4 linked regions of the Drosophila melanogaster genome follow. The protein of the gene in region 3 interacts with the protein of the main gene of each other region in a pairwise test. Each region holds a gene or a part of one and is shown on either strand. Other genes may lie near its edges. The genes, in order: RAF2, CG9213, CG3294 and Cwc25.

Region 1 (6,938 bases), on a different chromosome or scaffold from region 3:
CGTTTCTACGTCTTGCCCGTCTACATGGTGAGTGTGTTTCCCCCGTTGGATACCTTCTTTTAGGGTGCACCATAATGTTTACTACTGCCATCCCCACACACAAACACACACCCTTCCACACTTATTGAATCCAATCCCCTTTCGATTCCAGCACAGCACCAAGCAGAGCATTCGATTATGGTGGCAATATGCCTACAAGTGCGTCACGCCCTCCGCCTCGGCCGGTGCCGTCTGGAATCCGAATCTGAAATTCCGGCTCTACTGCAGCCGGCAGCTGCGCATCCGGAAACTGAGACGTGGTCCGTGGTCCAGGAGGCAGCCACTCCGGCTGCATATAAATGACATCAAACTGATGTGCCAGGTGCGCAGGCGCAGTAAATAAATGAGGCGATGGCAAAGCCCTAAATGATCTGAAAAAATTCCATTATACGAATTATATGTTATCAAAGTTTAGTCGAATTTCACAGAAAATTCTGTTTGAAATTTGAACAATAAACTTGGCGCCATTTATCGATAGACCAAGCCAACCAGTTCTGCAAACGGTAAAATTTTATATTTTATAAGTACCAATTTTAAAACACTTTCTATTATTGTATTAAAACGTCTCATCATTTTCTTTATTTTGTTGAACTAATACTTTTTGGTTCAATAGTCTTCCCAAAAATTAAATAATAAGTGCTTGTAAATAAATATGAACTTGTTTATTTTGCCTTTAGCATGGAATTACATCCAAAGAAACAGAAAATAAATATATTAATTCTTAAATAGATATCTTTTATGTAGCAAACAAGAAGTCAAGGATATTTAATTTTCAAACAAAAAAAGTGGGAAAACGAGGAACATTTTATCAATACGATTTTGAAACAAAATGAATTTCGCGCGTTGTTCATAAGCAAATTGGAATCAATTATTAAGGAATTATAATTATTATATTTAATCCCTACCAACTTATAATAGCTAGGCATATTACACTTTAAATTGTGCTTCATTGATTGAGTACAATTGCAAGCACTTAATTCAATAAAACGCAATTGAAAATGGTCCGCCAGTGTCCTGTGTCCTTCAGTGAGTTACACGGTTGAGTAAATATATAGTAGTGCATATGCGATACGTCTATATAGTTATGTTTTAGTAATGCTGATGTCCTAAGTGAAGTCTATTTAAATGCCACAAGTTCGGTGATGTGTGTCCCAATCGCTCAGCTATAACGAATGTATTATAAAAGATAGGTAAACATGAGTACTTTTCCTTCAATGCGTCACTGGATAAAACAATTTAAAAAAATGCATAAAATACATAATAAATCCTACAATGCTTACCTGGCATTCACGACTGCAGTACCATTGATTCTGACAGTTGGAGCACATAAAGGTGGCTCCATAGAGCTTGCACTCGTGGCATTGTCTACCTGTGTTACCGTTGATGGTGGCGGAAGATTCAGCCTGGGACTTATGGGAGCTCCTATGCTTGTGAGACTTGTGCTTATGCGACTTGCGCTTGTGAGACTTGTGCCTCTTTTGGACATTCTCATGGTCGTTGATATTAGCGGAATGTTGTTCTTGGTAGGACTGAATAGAAACATTTATTTTCGCGGAATGTCAAAAAATATTGTGATTAAGTGCATACCTGTCTATTGGCCAGTTGGCGACGGGAGGCCATCGGACTGCTGTTGAACAGCGGTTCGATCTGTGATTCATTATCCGAATTATTGTCCTCCATTGAGACGTTACTAAAATGCGAATAATTTTTCCAAGCCCTAATCTTGCGAAGCGTCTCTGAAAGATTGGCTGACAAATGTGTCGAGGAGCTTGCCATGTCCTGGTTACTATAAATTATATGACGTTAAAATAATATGTTCTAGTATATTATTTGTATTTTCTCACCTGTCTTGCGAGTGGATTAGCTTCGGTCGCTTGGCTGGCGGATCTCTGTCTGGATTGCTATCTAGCAGATGGTCATTTACCGCATTCCGAGATTCGTAATGCTGATCCCGCATTGATAGATGACTTACGGGCAAGGAATCTCTACGAAAAAGCATTTGGTCATCCTCGAAATTGGCCGGAGACACGGACGGTGCGCGTTTATTTAAGCCCAAGGAACTGAAAACGATCAATTTTAACTTGGGATTCTCAGAATTAAACATTTAAAGATTTACCCCCGCAGAAGCTGTATGATGTTCTGGTTTAACTCGGCGTAATTCAGTAATTTTTCAATTGCCGACAAACTATGTTTGGAGGCCATTGGAGAATCGATTTCCTCTTCTAGCATAGCCTTTACCTCACTGAGCTCCTTGGTGCCGCACTTGTTGATAAGGATGGGCAGTAGGTCCTTAATACGTATCAAGCGCTCCTTTCGCTCCATTCGTTCATGCAGCTCCTTCTTAATGCAGCTCAAATACAGCAGTCGGTTATATTCATCCTCTTTCTGGGCCATCAGCTTATCTAGGGCTGCAAGATCCGCAACGATGCGTTCGCGCTCTTTTTTCAATGAATCTTCATCAGGGGGTACCGAGTTAATTTTATCAATCATTGTCGAGTTCAATTCATCGAAAAGTTCTTTGACGCGATAATGGAAGTTTGCATCACTATTATTGAGATCAACGAATGACTTTTGGCGGGTTGTCGAAGAAGAAGCCGCTGGTGACCCCAAGCCCTGCGTCTGGGTGCTCACCGTTTCCGATCGACGGGGTTGCGGCTGTTGGGGCACCGCAAAGTTGGGAGCAGCCACTGGAACAGGATGCAGTTGAGATGGCGATTGATGGACCTGCTGTGATTGGGCAAGCTGATGTGGACTAGCATGCCTTTGAGGGGTCAACGGCTGCACCGAAGCTGGTCTTGATGAATCTGGCTGCTGTGGTGGAGGAGCTAGCTGCTGTGGTGGAGGAGCTAGTTGCTGTGGTGGAGGAGCTAGCTGCTGTGGTCGAGGCGCTAGCTGCTGTGGTGGAGGAGCTAGCTGCTGTGTTGGAGCTAGCTGCTGTGGCGGAGCCATATGTTGTGGTGGAGCCATATGCTGTGTGGGAGCTCGCTGTTGTGGCGGAGCCAGCTGCTGTGGCGGAGCTCGCTGCTGTGGCGGAGCTCGCTGCTGTGGTGGAGCTAGCTGCTGTGGTGGAGCTAGCTGCTGTGGTGGAGCTAGCTGCTGTGGTGGAGCTAGCTGCTGTGGCGGAGCTAGCTGCTGTGGCGGAGCTCGCTGCTGTGGTGGAGCTAGCTGGTGTGGTGGAGCTAGCTGGTGTGGTGGAGCTAGCTGCTGTGGCGGAGCTCGCTGCTGTGGTGGAGCTAGCTGGTGTGGTGGAGCTAGCTGGTGTGGTGGAGCCAGCTGCTGTGATGGAGCTAGCTGCTGTGGAGATGGTCTATGTTGAGCCAGGTGCCGTGGTGGAGCGAATGGAGCTGTAGCCAGTTGCTGTGGAGGAGCTCGCTGCTGTGGTGGAGGAAGCTGCTGCGGTGGAACTGATCTTGGGAAGTGCATCTGTTGCACGGGGGCTTGTTGTAGTGGAGCAACCTGAGATGGAGCTCTCTGCGCGAGGGCAGCCACTTGTGGTGCAGCAGCATAGGATGCAGCGACTTGGGATAAAGCTGTCTGTTGAATCGAGAAAGTCGCATTAGCTTTCATGTTATTTGACAGCTTTTCGTTGGGATAGGATATCTGCATTTGGGTGGCCGTTGGCGGTGGAGTATTTAAACTGTAAGTGTCAGCTTGCTTGGCGGCAGTAGGCGGAGCCAGGGTATACGGTGTGCTCAGCTTAAAAGCCTGCTGACGCTGAAGAGGATTAGTCGATGGAGTGGTGGGCATTCTTAGATTTAATGGTGGAGCTGCCTCCATTGGCTTCTGTTGCTGCACCGTTGAAAACCCAATTATATTATCATCCTCGACTTCATTGTTGCGCTTCTCTTCGCTAGCGGGCGGTGTTACCGAACGGCGTCTTTTAAGAGTGGCATCAACCACAAGCGACTCTGCCTCATTTGGCGCATCTCGCGACCGGTCCTTTAGAGCCTGTTCCAATTCCCGACACGCTGAGAGTTTACCGTAGTCGAAGACCGGTTCCTGGGGATCCTTCTTTACCAGGAACTCGTCGAGGATAGAGGCACCGTTTTCGTTGTTTCCAAGTGGGTTTGCTTTCTTCCTTTCTGGCAGCTCGTAGTTTAGTTGGGGTGGAGCCGGAAGCGTAGGCTTATTTTCCTTGATGGGCGTAACCCTTGCCGGCTCTTGCTCTGGTTTCTCAGGCGAATCCTCGTTCTCCGTGTCGTCAAGGCAAATGAGTTCCGGCGAACCACTGCCGCTGCGGCTGCGAGAATAGCTACGACTACGACTGCGACTGCAACTTCGGCTAAGACTGCGGCTGTGGCTGCGACTACGACTGATGCTCCTGCTGTCGTAGGTTCTGCGCTGCCTGTCATGGAAGCGAACCAGGTGCTTCAATTTACGCTTGGGCAGCAAGTCCTTCAGGCCGTCAAAATAGCTGTTGTAGTCCATTTTATTGGGTCGCAGCCTGAAGTGTGATCGGATAAGATAGGATTACAGTTTCAGTAGGTTCTTTGGGAAGTAAGCCTTACCAACGAATACTGCGACGCTTGAAGTAAAGATTGGGCAGCCTGCCACGCTGTAACTGCAATTGCCGGATCCGCCGAATTGTTTCTGAGCGCGTGGAAGGTGGCACCGCATCGTCATCTGGCTTTTCATTTTTCTCAGTGGCAGCCGCCGATTCTGGAGCTCCATTTCCGGGTTTCTCGGACTCGGATCCCTTGGATTTTGTCTTTTGGGGTCGTTGCTTGCTCACCGCCGCGTCCATTAGAGCGTCGTATTCCTCCTCCTCGTGGCTATACTCGTCGCTACTTAGCTGCGAATTGGAGGAGTCGTAGATCTCGTTGGACATTAGGCCTGCAACTGGACGACGGTCAGGTATGTACATCTTTTGGCATTAACCCCCTCAAAAACTCACGCGCTCACGTCTGCAAATTTTTGGCCAACAAAAAATCGTCTGCCGGTTGAATATTCTAATCCGCCGACGGGCTCACCTTTTCAGTTGCTGAAAACCACTTAAAACAATGGCCCAAGTCCCCAAATAGGCTAATTCGGGTTTATACCAGTTTTAAAGCGTTTACTTTCAGCAAAAATCCAATTTCCAAATGCGAAAAAAAATTCGCCGTTCAATTCTGCGAATAATTTTGACAGGCATTTAGTATGGACGCAAACCAATAGGGTAACCACTTTTGGGAAAGTCTTTAAATAATACTGAATAAAATATGTTCTTCCAACTAGTTCTTAGTTAGGTAAACCAAGCAAACAAATTTTTAATCTTATTAAATTAAAGTAATCTAGTAATCTTATTAAATATTACTAGTTTCGGGGTATTCGGTCATTTCATATCTAAAAACCAAATAACTATATTAGAATAAGTTACTCACTAGAGTTTCATTTTTTGATTTATGGAAAAGTTAGCGTAGATCAAAAATCAATCATTAATAAGCTATAAGTTGTAGTGCAGATCGTTAGCCAAATTATTCAGATTTCCTTTACAACATTGCAACCTGACAGCCCTGGTGGCAAATATTAAATATTGAAAAATACTAAAGGCAAAAGTGGCGATTTTCCGTTTGTTCACCGGTGTCATCGTCATTGCACTCGAACGGTCATACCGTTTGGCTTACAAAAGAAAACAAATCAATTCGCACAAAAACATTGCCAAAAAGGTAAATGGCGGGCACGACGCCGCCGAGTGATAACCATATAGTAGTGACCAGTGTTTAGCAACCGATTCCCGCCCAGTGACACTCGTAAACAAAGGGCACGACCGACAGTGTCTGTATATATATGTGCATATGCGTAACAGGGAATAACCGATAAGAACGGCGCAGCTGCAGATAGACATACCTTTAAATAGGACTTTGTTTATTGATCGTTTGTGGGTGGCTATTGCCTTGCAGATCGCGAACTGATAACCATAAATGTTAACCACGTCACGCCACCCCACGCCTCTCCCAAACACACACACTCGCACACGTGCGCCAGCTGAGCACATGCATACGTATATGCATGCTCACACGCACACAATCGCATGGTCGTGCACAAGAACTCTTTTGTTGTATGTAAAGTGGACGATCGAAAAAGTAAACTAATTCAATACAATGGGTTCAGCAATCAACGTCGGGGTCACCAATTGAGTGCATCAAAAATACAATCAATTCGGCCCGGCGAATTTTCGGTTGATTCAGCTAATGGCGGTGTGCATAAGAAATGGCATGAAAAGTACTCCTTTTTTCATTGGATTTAAATCCCATTATCATAGGAAGAAATAAGAAATTTAAAAAAAGCAGTGCTTGTCAACTGAATGCATTCATTTCTATTACAAAAACGTAGTGCGTTCCATTGTGCATGTAAATATATGCAGTCCCAGTTTTATATTACGTGTCAAAACAAAAGATTGACCTTTATCATTGGTCGTTTTACAACCATTGTTTATAACTTTGTAGAAATACAAATAAAAACTTCTTTGATAAACTTTATCCGCTGACATGTTTTAAATCATAATTTAAGTAAATCATGATCATTTAAATAATAATCTCAATATATAATACCTATTACTTTAGTTTATTTAAAATCCGAAAATCGTTTCGAAACTTATTTAAATTTGCTTAAATTGAAATATCTAAAATATCCGAAGCCAAGTATTATTTAATAAGAAATATGAATAGCTAAACGCCTTAATGAAATGATTTAATTAGTTTAAAGTTTTAAAGTTGTCGTTTTTACTCATAATTAAAACGGTCGTAAAACTTTAGTACTTTTTTAAAACATCTCCATGTACAAAATGTAAAAAATGACACCTAACTGTCATCAATTTTTTGCTAAACTGTTTGCACACTTTGGTCCCCATAAACCCACTCATTCTAAAGATTATTGACTTTCGCGAGCTTCCACTGTGAAGTGCGAGTATCTGCCCCATA
Region 2 (5,093 bases), on a different chromosome or scaffold from region 3:
GTGTCCGAATCCGTAGATGAGCAGCAGTACCACCAGCACGATGTACACAATCCGGCGTCTCAGCAGGCGTGTCAGGGCGGCTGGCCACATCCTGGCCAATACCTAGCGCTCCATCACAGCTCCCGCCGGGTGTAATTCTCCTGGGACACGGACATGGCAGTGGCCACAATCGGGGAATTTTTCAGTTTGAATGCTACTGGGGCATTGGGTGCTGTCACTCCTCGGATGACTTCAGCTACTTCTGCTGATCGTGATTACATCCAGTTGCAGTGTCGGTGCACTTTTCACTCAGAACTGAACTGATGAAATTTTCCTGGATTGTTGATGAACTTTTCTAGGCAACTTCCTCGTTGGAAAAAGATCTCTTCAAATTGAAAGGGGGAGCTCTCTTTTCTCTGCGTTGCAGCATGGTGTGCAATCAGTTACTGGCCCACTATGCCTCTATTTGTATTATTTTGTTTTTTTTTTTTTTCTTGCAATAAATGGAAGCGAAATTCGTTAGCAAGCACAAAAACAAATTCCTAAATATTTATTTATTTCAATCAGCTGTTTACCAGTGTTGCGAAATACTGACGGGGGGAAATACAAATCGATTAGTGCTATCGACGTTTCATAATTTGAAATTTATTTTTATAAAAAAAATGCAAATTGAAACGGTTTTTCTAATGTATATAAAAATATATATTACATTTTTCTGACTTTAAATGATCTTGGGATATCTGATTTTTACAATGCATTTTTCTAGTTCTGTGTGCAATCAAATTTCTTCCAGTTTTCAGCAAAGGATTTCACCTTTCCGATGGGGTTTGCCTCCTTTCGCGGCTTTCGCCAAGCATTGGGATTTAACTCCAGCATTCCGCCGAGGATTTCCTGAAAGTATATAGTGCAATCAGCATACAAATGAGTCAAATAAGAGCAAGCAATGCCAACGAACCTGGGCAAAGTTAGCCGGAAATCGATCCTCGTCCTCGATGACGTGCGCGAAGCCCGAATCCATGCCGAAGTGAACCCATACGTAGGGCAGGCCCTTGGGAATGGCCGCCCGCAGGGACTTCTGGCGCAGCGAGACCAGCTGCTTGTTGATGCACCACTCCTGCTCCGATTCCTCGATGGCTTTCTTGAAGTAGAAGGGCGCCATCTCTCCTTGGCTGGCGGGAATTGGGATGCAGTGGACGCTGAGATGCGGCCGACGGTGCAGCTTGTTGGCAATCTCGTAGAAGACGACATCCTGGCGCCGGGCAGCGAACATGCGGGTGAGTGCCTTACGGAAGTTGCTTATCTCCTCCCAGGCATCTTCGTCTAGTTGCGTGCAGCAGGGTACATGCTGCAGGGTCGTCAGAATGCAGTGACCGCTCTGGAGGCCCATGTACCACGGCAAACTGAGATAGATCTTATCGCCCAGGGAAACGAGCAGCTGTTTGTCCAACTTGGCGGAGTCAAAACACCGCTCGCAGTTGTCCAGCGTGGCCACCAGTTTCTCGTGCTCCCTAATGGCGCTCTGCATCTCCCGCTTTTCAGCATCGCTGGCTGAGATCTGTTTGCGCACCTTATCAGCGAATATGTCATCCAAGTCATCGTTGGGATTCTTGTGCTTGGACACAATGTCGGCATACTGGAGATTGACTTCTGCGGCTGTGGCGTGTTTTTCCCGCTCGAACTGGAGGTTAAAATATGTTACTATTTAGTATTTGCTTTTGAAAGTTGAACTTACCATTTGCTTAATATCGTAGCGGTCATCATCGGCAAAGTATCTTACACGCTGACCATCCACGTGGGTGTCCACTTTCTTGCTGCCGCGTTTTGGTCCCATCCTGCCACCGTACGATTCGTTCGGATCGCCGGACTGCACCAGCGGACGCACGTTGCCGCTCTGGTCCACCTTGGTGAGCAGCACGTGCTCTGCTGAGGCCTTGGACTTGGCTGGCCTGGTATTTGCATTCCGCACTGACTCGCCGGAGGCAATGAACTCTGCTCGCTCCTTCCGTGCGGCCTCCAATTGCTGATTGAGTTCCGCCGCCAGTTCTTTCTTTCCTTTGAGCTCTGCCTTGATGGCCTTGCCGGCCAGCTCATTGATCTGTTCGTCTGTGAGGCAGGATGGTCTGGACTTGGGCTGCTGCACCGCCTCCTCCTCCTCCTCATCAGATGATGTGGCACTTTTGGAGCGGGATCTGCTTCTTCTGGGCGGACTGGGAGCCTTTGCGCCTGGTTTTCGCCAACCGCGTGAGGATCCCTGTGCGGAGCTGCTGGAATGCGGCTTGGCCTGCCGTTCATCGTCGTCCTGTGGCTTCTGGAAACCGGGCAGACCCGTGCCATTGCTCTTCCAGTAGGGATTGAGCTCACGGCCACTCTTGGCCGGATCGTAGGCATCAATTTGTTGGGCCTTCTCGTTGGGCTTCGCTGGCTCCTTGCGTTCCCTGGAGAACGTCTTCAGAAGGAGAGACTCGCTGGTCATCCAGTCGTCCCGCTGAGGGGGCTCCTTCTTAGTGACATTGTCCGCCGCGAGAGGCGGAGGAGCCTCCACCCACTCGTCCTCGCTGGCGCTTTCCTTACGGCTCCTCTTGGACTTCTTCTTGCGTCGCTTGCGCTCCTTTTCATCCTCACTGAACGAGGAGGAAGATGAAGTGGAACTTTCGCTGCTACTGCTGCTGTTGCGGTGCTTCCTGCTCTTCTTCGATGACTTGGACTTGGACCTGGACTTGTGCTTGGAAACATTCTTCTTTGACTTTTTGGCGGGCTTCTCCAGTTTCTTGGCCAACGCGGGCAGCATCCAGTCGGCTTCGCCGCGCAGCTCCTTCTGCCTCTCCCGCTGCCCACGCAGTTCCGCCCGCTCCTTGGCCTGCTGCAGCATCGCCTCCCGGGCCTCCCGGAGCTCCTGGCGCGCCTTATCCTTTTCTCTGCCGCTTTCAAATTGTATGTAGCTCATGTCTAATTTGGTTCTTCTTGTTTACCAAAACATTAGTGTTAGAGATGGACAAATATGCACAACAGTGATATCGCTTAAGTCACTACTGAATAACAGACATATCGCTTAACTCACTATTGAAAAGTTGATTGCAATATACAACAAGAGAGAATGATATAGTCAAATTCCCCGTTACTCGGCTAGTGTGAATGCGAAAGCGAAATTTAATAAATTTAATTTAATTTTAATTTTAGAATCTGTATGGTGAATCTCAACCTTCTAGCTTTTATAATTCCTGAAATTTTGGCGCTCATACGGACATGAAAAGATCGACTCGGCTATTGATCCTAATCAAGAATATATATACTTCATATGGTCGGAAACGTTTCCATCTTCCTGTTACATACACTTCAACAATTCTAGTATAGCCTTTAACTTTACAACGGGTATAAAAAAGTATCAAAAAATTCCAAAGGAGTGTTTTTTATTTATAAAGTTAATTCTCAACAAGACTTGAAGTCATATTAAAATCTAAAGTTTAAAGGCGCTTTTTATATATAATTAATGACCTGCCTGTTCTTAGTCCTCATCCGAGGAAGTTTCATTCTTGATCTTGTCGGACTTGCGCTTTTGCAACTCCTGCTCCACGTCGGGGTCCTTGACCAGGTGCTCTAACTTGATGTCGGACAAGTTGGGACAGTCGCGCACCGGGCATAGGATGCCAATGTTGTCCTTGATGATCATTAAAACCGTTTCGCGGTCGTAGATATGACCGCACCTTTTGTTGCGCACGGGGTGCTTTATCAGGAGCTTGGACCAGGGATCGTGGAACGGGACGACCTCGACGCCGAAGTCTTCCATGATAAGGTCCTCATCAAGGCCGGCGATATTCTTTTGAGCTTCTGATTCCACCGCATTCATGTAGTTCGTGTCCTCAAGTGAGTTATTGACATCGATGCGCATCTGCTCCACAGCTTCGGGGCGCTCCTTGCAGACTTCCTCGGACTTCTCGATGGTGTTGCTAGAGTTTTTGGTTAGCAACTTCTCCCCGTCATCGCTGGAATTGGACACGACTGTGGGTGGGTGTGTTTTAAAGATGTTAAAGATGTCTCGGTTTGTCACATGGCTCACCTTCTGCCATTTCCCTGAAGAGCTTTTGGTGGGATTTCGGGTCCATTTTGATCATAAATTTTATTCAGACGCTTTTCAAATTGCAAATCCAGAATATTTAGATCGAAATGTCAAGACTGACGCTTCGGTTAAGCTAGGACCGATAATTTCGACAGGCAGCCTATCGAGGGTGTAATCGTTCTTTTGAGAACCGTTAATAATCGTGATGTGCGTCAAGTTAGCGTAGGTGAGTTAGCGTCGGTCAGTTAGTGCAGATGGCGGATCGGTAGAATTTTGAACATGGGGAAGTTTTTTATTTATTTTATTTTGTTGGGTTGTGGGCATTAGAGTGGGCGTGGCAATATGGGCATGCGCTGCGTCTATGTCTCTAGAATCTGTATGGTTAATCTCAACCTTCTAGCTTTTATAGTTCCTCAGATTTCGGCGTTCATACGGACATGATCAGATCGACTCGGCTATTGTTCCTGATCAAGAATATATATACTTTATATGGTCGGAAACGCTTTCTTCTGCCAGTTACATACTTTTTAACAAATCTACTATACCCTTTCACGAGTAACGGGTATAAAACTGAATATATTTGATAATATTATACTGAAGCTACCAATTTCCGATGCTGTAAATTGCATAATTTATTATGAAATAAAAACACTAATACTTATTATGTCAGCGGAACATAATAAGAATATTTGAGTCTAGAGGTTTTATCTCCAAGGGCATGACAACGCCATGGCAACCCTTTTTGCTTGTGTCAAGAACTCAAAAAAGAAGGCGATGACTTTGCAGTCTACAAGTCACATTTATAATTTGGCGTGAGGACCTCAGTTGATTCACATATCCGAGCGGATAATACTTAACTATTTGCAAAGCACAGCATTTTTAAGATGACCATTTCAAGAAAATGCTTTACGCATACAAGTTGATAGGTTTTCTAAACGAAACAATGAAGTCCTACGATTCTTCATAGAGCTCACCGATTTCATTATTCCGTTCACCGCTCCCGATAGATTCTTCGTTATTTGTAGAGATTTCCAGCGCAAGTCGCCAACAGCTGGCCCAT
Region 3 (4,237 bases):
TCGCAGACTGGCCACAAGAAGCGCCCGCAGCCGGACAACGCCGAATACGACATCAACCAGACCAAGGAGCAGTGCCTGTCCGTGTTGAACAACGTGTACAACGATGGCATCGCCTGGCACGACGTGGCCTGCTACCACGAGAAGCCCGTCATCTGTGAGGACAACGAGGAGCTGCTGCGCTATGTGGCGGCCACGAATCCCGGCATCCGTCTATAGAGCGGCTCGCTGGGCGTTCGCTGTTTGCCTAATTTTAAAGCTACTTATTATAATATTCCTTAAACGAGTTTTTGTATAATTTTTGTTTGTATGTGTACGACGAAAACGGAAGAAAGCAAGACAAATAGACTTTAGAATTTACAATTTCCGATCCTACAAACACCACAAAACCACCCACCCACCAAATCCACAATACTGCTTTCATCACACCTTAGCACCCAGCACTTAGTCTCACTTCTCCTTCCTCCCTACCTTCGAAACTGCCAATTTTACGCGTAGAATTCTATTCCGTTGTAAACAGTTGAGTCGTTTTCAGATCGCACCTTAAATATTTATAGGCAATCCTAAATTGCAAGTGTTTCGCTCTGACCCACTGTCTGTCATTCAAGCAAGAAATTCGGAATCTCTTTAGTATTTTGTTTGAGACACTCATGTTTTGTCCACAAAGAGATTGAATAAAATTTTGTAAAGATCCCATAAAAAAGAAAACACTTGAATTAATACTTTGGTTTTTATTGGCAATGGTTGTGCTGATGATCGGGTGTTGTGGAGTTGTGATGATGATGATGCCTCTTTGATCTGCGATCGTCATGTGAAGATCCCGAGGAGCTGTGCTCTCTTTTAGAGCGCACGGAACTCCGGTCACTTCTTGACCTGGAATGATGATTCCGCTGTTGGTTGTTTTTGAGATCCCGACCTCGGTTGCCCAAGTCCTTGGAGTTTTCCAGTTCAACCTCGGGGCTTGCCGACCAGCGCCAGTTCCTGCCGTGCTCGCTGTGCTCATCCCAACTGAAGAGATAGGGAAAGTATTTAAATAGTTTGCCGGAATATAAACTAATATTATATTTAAATCCACCTGGGTGTCTTGGCCGTTGGAGTTTGGCTGGAGCGTCGTTCACTGCGTGGACCGCTGGTGTACTCCAGTTCCGTGTTGAACAGGTTGTTCGGATTGCCAAACAGGTGCAGATAGCCGCAGTCGTTACCTTTGGGACATTTACGTGTTAAGGACAAACCTTTAAGAAGTCACAGATTGTGTTAAAGAAAATGGTATTAAAACATATGAATGGGCTTGCTTTGAGTTTTGGTTTTTTAAAGGATACGGCTTCCTCTTGGCATGCAGTTCACGTACCGCAGACTGCGCCGCGCCAGGTCCTCAGATTGGAGAACTCCACGTTTAGTCGCTTGGAGGCGTAGTAGCGACCTTGGAGATTGGTAAATGCGCGAAGTGCAGATCTGAAATCATGACGTACGCTTTATAATAATTAGTTTATGACCTCTTTAGACATTATTAACATAACATAAAAGTATGCAAGCGCAGAGACAATACAATATATATATTTTTTGGCGAGAGAACAGGTATAAATTAAAATTGTGAATTATATGAATTAACTTTTACATGAAAATGCTGGGAAATAGGCTGCATTTGAATATCCGAATTGCTTGCATATAAACAATGTCATATTAATTAAATAATAATAATGATAATTAATACTCTCAGACAAACCGTTCGTTTGTGTACTCCACAAAGACGTGACCCCTGAGGTGTTCCAGCGTATTGCGCACCGTGCGGAAGTTGACAATGGTGCCGAACTTTCTCAGTTCTTCGACGACATCGTTGAAGAACTCATCGTAGTCGTGGCGCAGATCCTGTTCGGTCAATTCCAGGTGTTCCTCCGCCGAGGCGTACTCCTTGTGCGTGCATCGCTTCTGCAGCATGGAATGGTTGAAGAAGTGCCGGATGAGAAGGATCCTTCCCAGCATCGGGCGGCGATGGTTGAAGGTGCAGGCGTGACCGTAGCGGCAACAGTTGGTGCGGCTAAAGAACTCGCAGGCTCGTTCCTCCGGATGCGTCTCCATTACACGCAGAAGGTGGCTGGGTGGCTTCTCGATACGCGGGTTGTTCAGATACTCATCCATGCTCTCCATCATGGCATCGAATTCGGCGGCAGCCTTGGCGGCTTTTCGTGTCTCTTCCTCGCGCTGCTTCCGCTGTCTCTCCTCCCGTTCCGCCCGCTCTTTCGCCTGTTCCCGCTGCAAACGCTCCACTTCCTCCTGCTCCTGACGCTTCTTCGCCTCGTCCATTTGGAATTGTCGCTGCGCTGTGGCTTCGCGTCGCAGCCAGGACTCCTCCGCCAACTGGCGCTCCCGTTCGTCGGCTAGTCGTTGGAATTCCTGCATTTCCTCCTGTTCCTGCGACCATTTCTGGTACTCCGGCTGCATAAGTCTTTGGTTTTCCGCCTCTTCCTCCAGTTTATCACGTTCTTTGGCATGTTTTTGACGACGCCGCTTCCTCTGCTGCTTCTTGATTAACTTTCGCCGTGCCCTTTGTATAAATTATATACATTAAATTAAATTATACATTATATTTAAACAAATTTATAGTTATTTACTTCCTTCCCGGCATTTCGCAAAATCAAAACATTGAATTTCGGTGAGCAGCTGAAACGCATTTGTGAGAACACAGCTGATTAATACCGTGTACAGGGTCTATGAAAAATACCACAAAATACTGCAGCACGAAAAAAATTACATTTTTACATTTACATATTTTTCAAAGTTTTCATAAATCTGGCAAATCAAAAATGTTTTGTAAGTTTTCCCTCAAAATTAAGATTTCATATCATAAATGTTTAAAATTTACGAATTCTTACGATTTTTGTAATTCAAAATTTATTATAAATTATAACAGTCTAATATAACACCAAGTTTCGTTCTTGCTATAAAATGTAAAATAACATTGCTGTATAGCACAATGCCAAAAGCCTCAGTTCAACTTACACTGCTATAAATTATGTTATGTGATTTTTATAGCACTGTGTCGAAGAGCTTTTAAAATTTAATAGAAGCGCTTAGTTTGAATATTTTCTTGTTTATCAGATTTGTATATTTTGAATTGAACCGTTTATTCAAGCTTTTTCTCAATTCCCCCTTCCATCGAACCAGAAACTTTCGAACTCGAAAATTCCCCTCTGCAACAATGTTGCCAGCAACATTGTGTCCGGCGATTGCCGAAGATGCGAAAAAAAATCAAATTCAGTGATAAAGTAAAATTCGTGCGCGTCGGTTCACCTACACTTCGTGTCGCCAGAGAAAGCCTTTCTCCTGGCTTTCTCTCTGAGCTCTCCTTTTGCGCTCGGCTCCGAAATCCGAAGTCCGGAATTTGGACTCCGGCTCAAGCGCCGAATCGCCGAGCTTGGCTCACGGAAAACCAACTGAGTTGTGCGAAACTAAGTCAAAACAATTGATGTGAATTCTCGCGGCACAACTTGATATTAGATAAATGAAATAATTCGCGCCGCTGGCACTTTGAACTCGTAATCAGGTCGCAAGCATATTCACGGTTTTTTGTGTAGTAACCACAGGAATTCAAATTCATATTCGTTGAGATTCTCGCAATGCGGCTAATTGGATTTATTCTGAATTTGGCAGCCCTAACAGGTAAGTGGTTCTTACACTGGGAGAAAAAGAAAACAAATGTTATCTAAATACATAAAATAGCCTGATTCTAAAGCTAGCAATTAAGGGATATTTAGAAAACAATATTTTTGGATTTGATGCTATCAATCCATAGATGCTATATTAGTTGTAATAGTAGATTTTTGTAACCATCACTTATTGAAATGCAATTAAATAACTTAAATATAAACTTAAAGAAAGAAGAACATATATCGCAAATTAAAACAATATGTTCTTTACTTACAATTTTTTTCTGTACGCCTAAAAGGGGCATTTAATTTTCAATAATAAACGATTTGACCGCATTTGTTGCTCTAGTGTTACATTGGCTGAGGTGGTCATCGAGTTCTGGAGGGGATGTGGATGGGGATGAGGATGTGGCGACCTCTTCCGAGTTACGTTCTGCGTTTTATTTTCGGACCCATGAACGGTGTTTATTATGTTCTTGTCTGGTCGATGGACAGTTACGAGCTTTAGTAGTATTCATAATGTGGTTGTTGTGGTTTTCCGTCTTCCTCGTCGTCGTCGTGTCGTTACGTATTTATCAATATTTGCCCTCTGTATT
Region 4 (4,138 bases), 2.0 Mb from region 3:
CCCTCCAGCAACTCCAGGGAAGCTCCTCCACCGGTGGACACATGCGAGACCTTGTCGGCGCCTCCGAACTTCAAGCAAGCGGTGGCCGTATCCCCACCACCAACGATTGTGGTGGCTCCTCGGTTAGTGGCCCCGATTACTGCCTCCAGCATGGACTCGGTGCCTTTGGAGAATAGCTCGTTTTCGAACAAGCCTGGCGGTCCGTTCCAGACGATGGTTTTGGATGCACAAATAGCGCCAGCAAACATCTGACTGGATGCCTGGCCGTGGTCCAGACCCATCATGTCCTCCGGTATGCCCTGTGTGGCATCCACATGTTCCACTTTATCCGGCTCCTTGTCGATCTTATTGGCTATGACAAAGTCAATCGGAAATAGTATATTCACGTCCTTCTCCTTCGCCTTGCAGACTATGTCGTTGACCAACTCGGATCCCTTCTCGTCGAAGAGGGACTTTCCAATCTCCATGCCATTGAGCACTTTGAGAAAGGTGAAGGCCATGCCACCGGATATGATCATGGCCGTTACATTGTTCAGGAGGTTCGTTATCAGTGGAATTTTATCGGCTATCTTGGCGCCACCCAGAATGGCCAAAAAGGGCTTGGCCGGATCGTGGAGAACCTTGGCAAAGTACTCCAGTTCCTTGTCCAGCAGGAAACCAGCCGCTCGCACCTTGTAGCCATCGCCCATCATGGAACTATGCGGACGATGTGCTGTTCCAAAGGCATCGTTCACATAGATCTCGCCCAGCTGCGCCAACTTGGCTCGGAATTCCTTCACCTTCGCGGGATCTGCTTTGACCTTCTTCTTGTTATCGTCCTTGCTGCTGCCCGTCTCCTCGGCATAGAAACGAAGATTCTCCAACAGGAACACAGTGCCGTCGGAGGGATCCTTCAAAGCTCTCAGGGTGCTATCACCCACGCAGTCGTCCAGGAATTGAACCGGCTGGCCCAGCACACTCTCCAGCTCCTTGGCCACGGGTTCCAGGCTAAACTTTTTGTTCTTTTTGCCATCCGGACGCCCCAAGTGGGATGCCAAAACCTAGGCAAAAAATTAAGTTATTCGTTCTATACTTTTTAGGAATTGAAGGAAGATATATCAACTCACCAAGGACTTACATTTCTTGTCCAAGGCATATTTAATACTGGGAAGTGCGGAAACAATTCGTTGGTTGTTGGTTATTTTGCCATCTTTCATGGGTACATTAAAGTCCACTCTAAAAATAAATTTATAAATCACACACTAAAACATATCTGGCAAGGATACTCACCTCATAAAAACCCTTTTCCCAGCCACATCTACATTTTTTAAGCTCAACTTCTTTACTTGCTTTCCATTGCAATCGTCTTTGCTAAAAAATCTTGGAAATCTTAATTTTGTAAATCGAGTTTGAGCTCTTTGGTATAAACTCTGCCGAATTGGAAGCATATTAAATAAATTTATTACCTGTTTTTGACTGAAAATACAATGCACGATGAGGAAGTAATTATGAAAATAAGTAACTAAATTAACTATTTTCAATAATTTTCGAAAAAGTAAAAGAAAAATGTAACCCTATGGCAACACCAAGTTAAATTACTTCACCACGATCTGGCAGCCCGGGCGAACATATGATTTTGTTGAAAACAACAGAAAAGGAGGGAAAATCTGGAATTGTTTGTAATTTGTTTGTTTTGCTGTTAAAACGCAAATCAAACCCAAGATGGGTGGCGGAGATCTAGTAAGTAATGTCTCCCAACTGATTATCCGTCAATTACCATTGATTTTTCCCGCAGAATCTGAAGAAATCATGGCATCCGCACACGATGAAAAACCAGGAGCGCGTTTGGAAGGCGGAGGAGCAAGCGAAGATGGAGGAGCGCAAGCTGCAGGATCTGCGCAAGGAGATCAACGAGGAGCGGGACAGAGAGGAACTAAGGCGATTGGGCGAAAGTTCCGGAGTGCTGAGCAATAATGGCGGAGCCGCCGGCGAGGCCAAGCTGGAGTGGATGTACAAAAGTGAGTCATACATGTGAAACTCTTATAAAACTCATTATCCATACATATTTATCTTGCTCCAGACAGCACAGAGCTGATCAACCGCGAGGAGTACCTCCTGGGCCGTAAGATCGACAAGTCCTTTGAGACGCTGCAAGCGGAGGAAAGCCGCCAGGAGCAGAACACAGTGGGTCTCAAGCAAACGATCAACCATGTGGAGCACGACTGTGTGCCCTTCTCCATCCGGACCTACCGCAATGTGCAGTCCAACGAACAGGTGGACATACAGCGCAAGACCCTCGAGGATCCCCTGATGCTCATCAAGCAGCGCGAAATGGAATCCCGTCGAAAGCTGCTTGAGAACCCCGTCAAGCTGAAGGAAATCCATCGCATTCTCAAGACTGAACAGGAACAAAAGGCCGCAGAGGGAAAGAAGAAGAACAAGAAGAACAAAAAGTCTAAGAAATCCAAAAAGAAGAAGAAGAACCGACGATCCAGCAATGAGGAAAGTAGTGACAGCGAGAGCAATGATAGCGACGATGACTTGGACAGAAAATTAGCCCGCCAAGTGAGCAAACTCAAGGGAGACCAAGGTGACCTTAAACTGGACAAGCTGCTGGACGCCAAGTACCGCACCATTTCAAATCAATTAGACATGGCCACCAAGAAGAAAAAGAGCAAGAAATCCAAGAAGAAGAAAAGCAGCGATAGCAGTGACGAAAGTAGTGACGAAGAGGAAGAGCCAAGGAGAAAGCACAAAAGGAGCCACAGCTCAGAGGACAGAAATCAGCGAGAAAGACGCAGGAGTAGAAGCCCCCGGGATAGAAAAAAGCGACAGAGTAGAAGTCCGGAACAAAGGCAAAGGCAAAGGAGTCCAGAAGAGAGAAGGGAAAGGCGCAGGAGCAGGAGCAGAAGTCCCTTAGCGAGAAGACAGAGAAGAACCAGGAGCCCAGAGGACAGAAAAGCCAGACGTCAAAGCAAGGACACTTCAAAGCAGCGCGAGAAACGCAGGAGTAGGACACCTGAAGAGCGTTCCAGATCAAAACGCAGCAGGAGCCGAAGTTCCAAAGGAGATGACAAGCGAAGGATTGCCGAAAGACCGCCTCCCAGCCGTCCCACCGGCAAGCCAAAGTTAAGCGAAGCCGACCGAGAAGCTCGCCTGCGCGAAATGATGGACAACGCCACTTGGAGAGAAGCGGATCGCAGCCAGGTGGTTCGCAAGCACCGAGAAGCATACGCGCGCGAGGAGGCCCAAAATCGTGAACGAGACTTCGACAAGGAGTTCATTAACAAGGAGGTGAAGAAGGCCATTGCCAACCATAACTCAATTGGCGATCGCATCCGGGCCAATCTCAACAACATACAGCGCACCGCCTCCTCAATGGACAGCAACTTTGCCCGCAAATAAACTAGGATTCCTTTATTTCGTATGCATTATATGGTTCCGCAACAAATAGATTCAACACTTTTTAACGTCGTGGTTTGTGCTTACAAGGTAAACGATGCGATTAACATTAATATACCGTATATATGTACGCTTAGGCGCTGGTCAATGCAGCCACGCCTGGCAGTGTCTTGCCCTCCAGGAGCTCCAGCGAAGCGCCGCCTCCGGTGGAGACGTGCGAGACGAGTGCCTCCGTGTTCCACTTGGCGCAGCAAGAGGCAGTGTCGCCGCCGCCGATGATGGAGACGGTGCCGTTCTTGGTGGCGGCCACCACGCCGTCCATGATGGACTTGGTGCCGTTGGCGAAGTTGGGGAACTCAAAGACACCGGGGGGTCTAAAATGGGAAAACCATTATAGGACATTTGGAGAAGTAGCTTCAGTGTGACACCTACCCGTTCCACACGATGAGCTTGGCGCGTGCGATGGGTGCCGCGAAGAGCTCACGGGTCTTGGGACCCACATCCAGACCCATGTGTCCATCGGGAATTCCGGCCTCCACGGTGGCCTCGCTGACGGCAGCGTTCTCGGCGAACTTGTCGCCGCAGACAAAGTCCACTGGCAGATGCAACTGCACGTTATTCTTCTTGGCCTTCTCCACCAGTTTCTCGACGATCTTGGAGCCCTCCTCGTCGAACAGGGAACCGCCGATCTTCATGTTGTTGAGGACCTTCAGGAAGGTGAAGGCCATGCCGCCACCGATGATCATCTCGTTGACCT

The links.
Region 1: the proteins of CG3294 (region 3) and RAF2 interact in a two-hybrid assay, tested with the Drosophila melanogaster proteins (one large-scale study listed by BioGRID).
Region 2: the proteins of CG3294 (region 3) and CG9213 interact in a two-hybrid assay, tested with the Drosophila melanogaster proteins (one large-scale study listed by BioGRID).
Region 4: the proteins of CG3294 (region 3) and Cwc25 interact in a two-hybrid assay, tested with the Drosophila melanogaster proteins (one large-scale study listed by BioGRID).

The regions. Positions count from the first base shown.
Region 1 is NT_037436.4:16,384,566-16,391,503, reverse strand, and holds RAF2 (RING-associated factor 2), read right to left. Parts: upstream 5,178-6,938; 5' UTR 4,934-5,177; intron 4,879-4,933; 5' UTR 4,868-4,878; coding exon 4,548-4,867; intron 4,484-4,547; coding exon 2,156-4,483; intron 2,100-2,155; coding exon 1,884-2,099; intron 1,826-1,883; coding exon 1,627-1,825; intron 1,569-1,626; coding exon 1,320-1,568; intron 1,203-1,319; coding exon 1,161-1,202; 3' UTR 688-1,160; downstream 1-687. Other genes in the region: CG44836 (uncharacterized protein), read left to right, coding at 1-27, 152-382; Agpat3 (1-Acylglycerol-3-phosphate O-acyltransferase 3), read left to right, coding at 6,050-6,076.
Region 2 is NC_004354.4:15,571,576-15,576,668, forward strand, and holds CG9213 (uncharacterized protein), read right to left. Parts: upstream 2,961-5,093; 5' UTR 2,924-2,960; coding exon 1,712-2,923; intron 1,658-1,711; coding exon 935-1,657; intron 871-934; coding exon 742-870; 3' UTR 501-741; downstream 1-500. Other genes in the region: CG15643 (uncharacterized protein), read right to left, coding at 1-90; CG42299 (uncharacterized protein), read right to left, coding at 3,482-3,975, 4,034-4,088.
Region 3 is NT_033779.5:4,793,055-4,797,291, reverse strand, and holds CG3294 (uncharacterized protein), read right to left. Parts: upstream 2,635-4,237; 5' UTR 2,621-2,634; coding exon 2,607-2,620; intron 2,540-2,606; coding exon 1,721-2,539; intron 1,450-1,720; coding exon 1,346-1,449; coding exon of another isoform or gene 1,338-1,345; exon of another isoform or gene 1,317-1,337; intron 1,230-1,316; coding exon 1,073-1,229; intron 1,006-1,072; coding exon 729-1,005; 3' UTR 711-728; downstream 1-710. Other genes in the region: slf (schlaff), read left to right, coding at 1-216; fipi (factor of interpulse interval), read left to right, coding at 3,612-3,654.
Region 4 is NT_033779.5:2,743,498-2,747,635, forward strand, and holds Cwc25 (Cwc25), read left to right. Parts: upstream 1-1,600; 5' UTR 1,601-1,701; coding exon 1,702-1,719; intron 1,720-1,774; coding exon 1,775-1,997; intron 1,998-2,059; coding exon 2,060-3,384; 3' UTR 3,385-3,447; downstream 3,448-4,138. Other genes in the region: CG9961 (uncharacterized protein), read right to left, coding at 1-1,040, 1,107-1,215, 1,270-1,427; Pgk (phosphoglycerate kinase), read right to left, coding at 3,515-3,755, 3,814-4,138.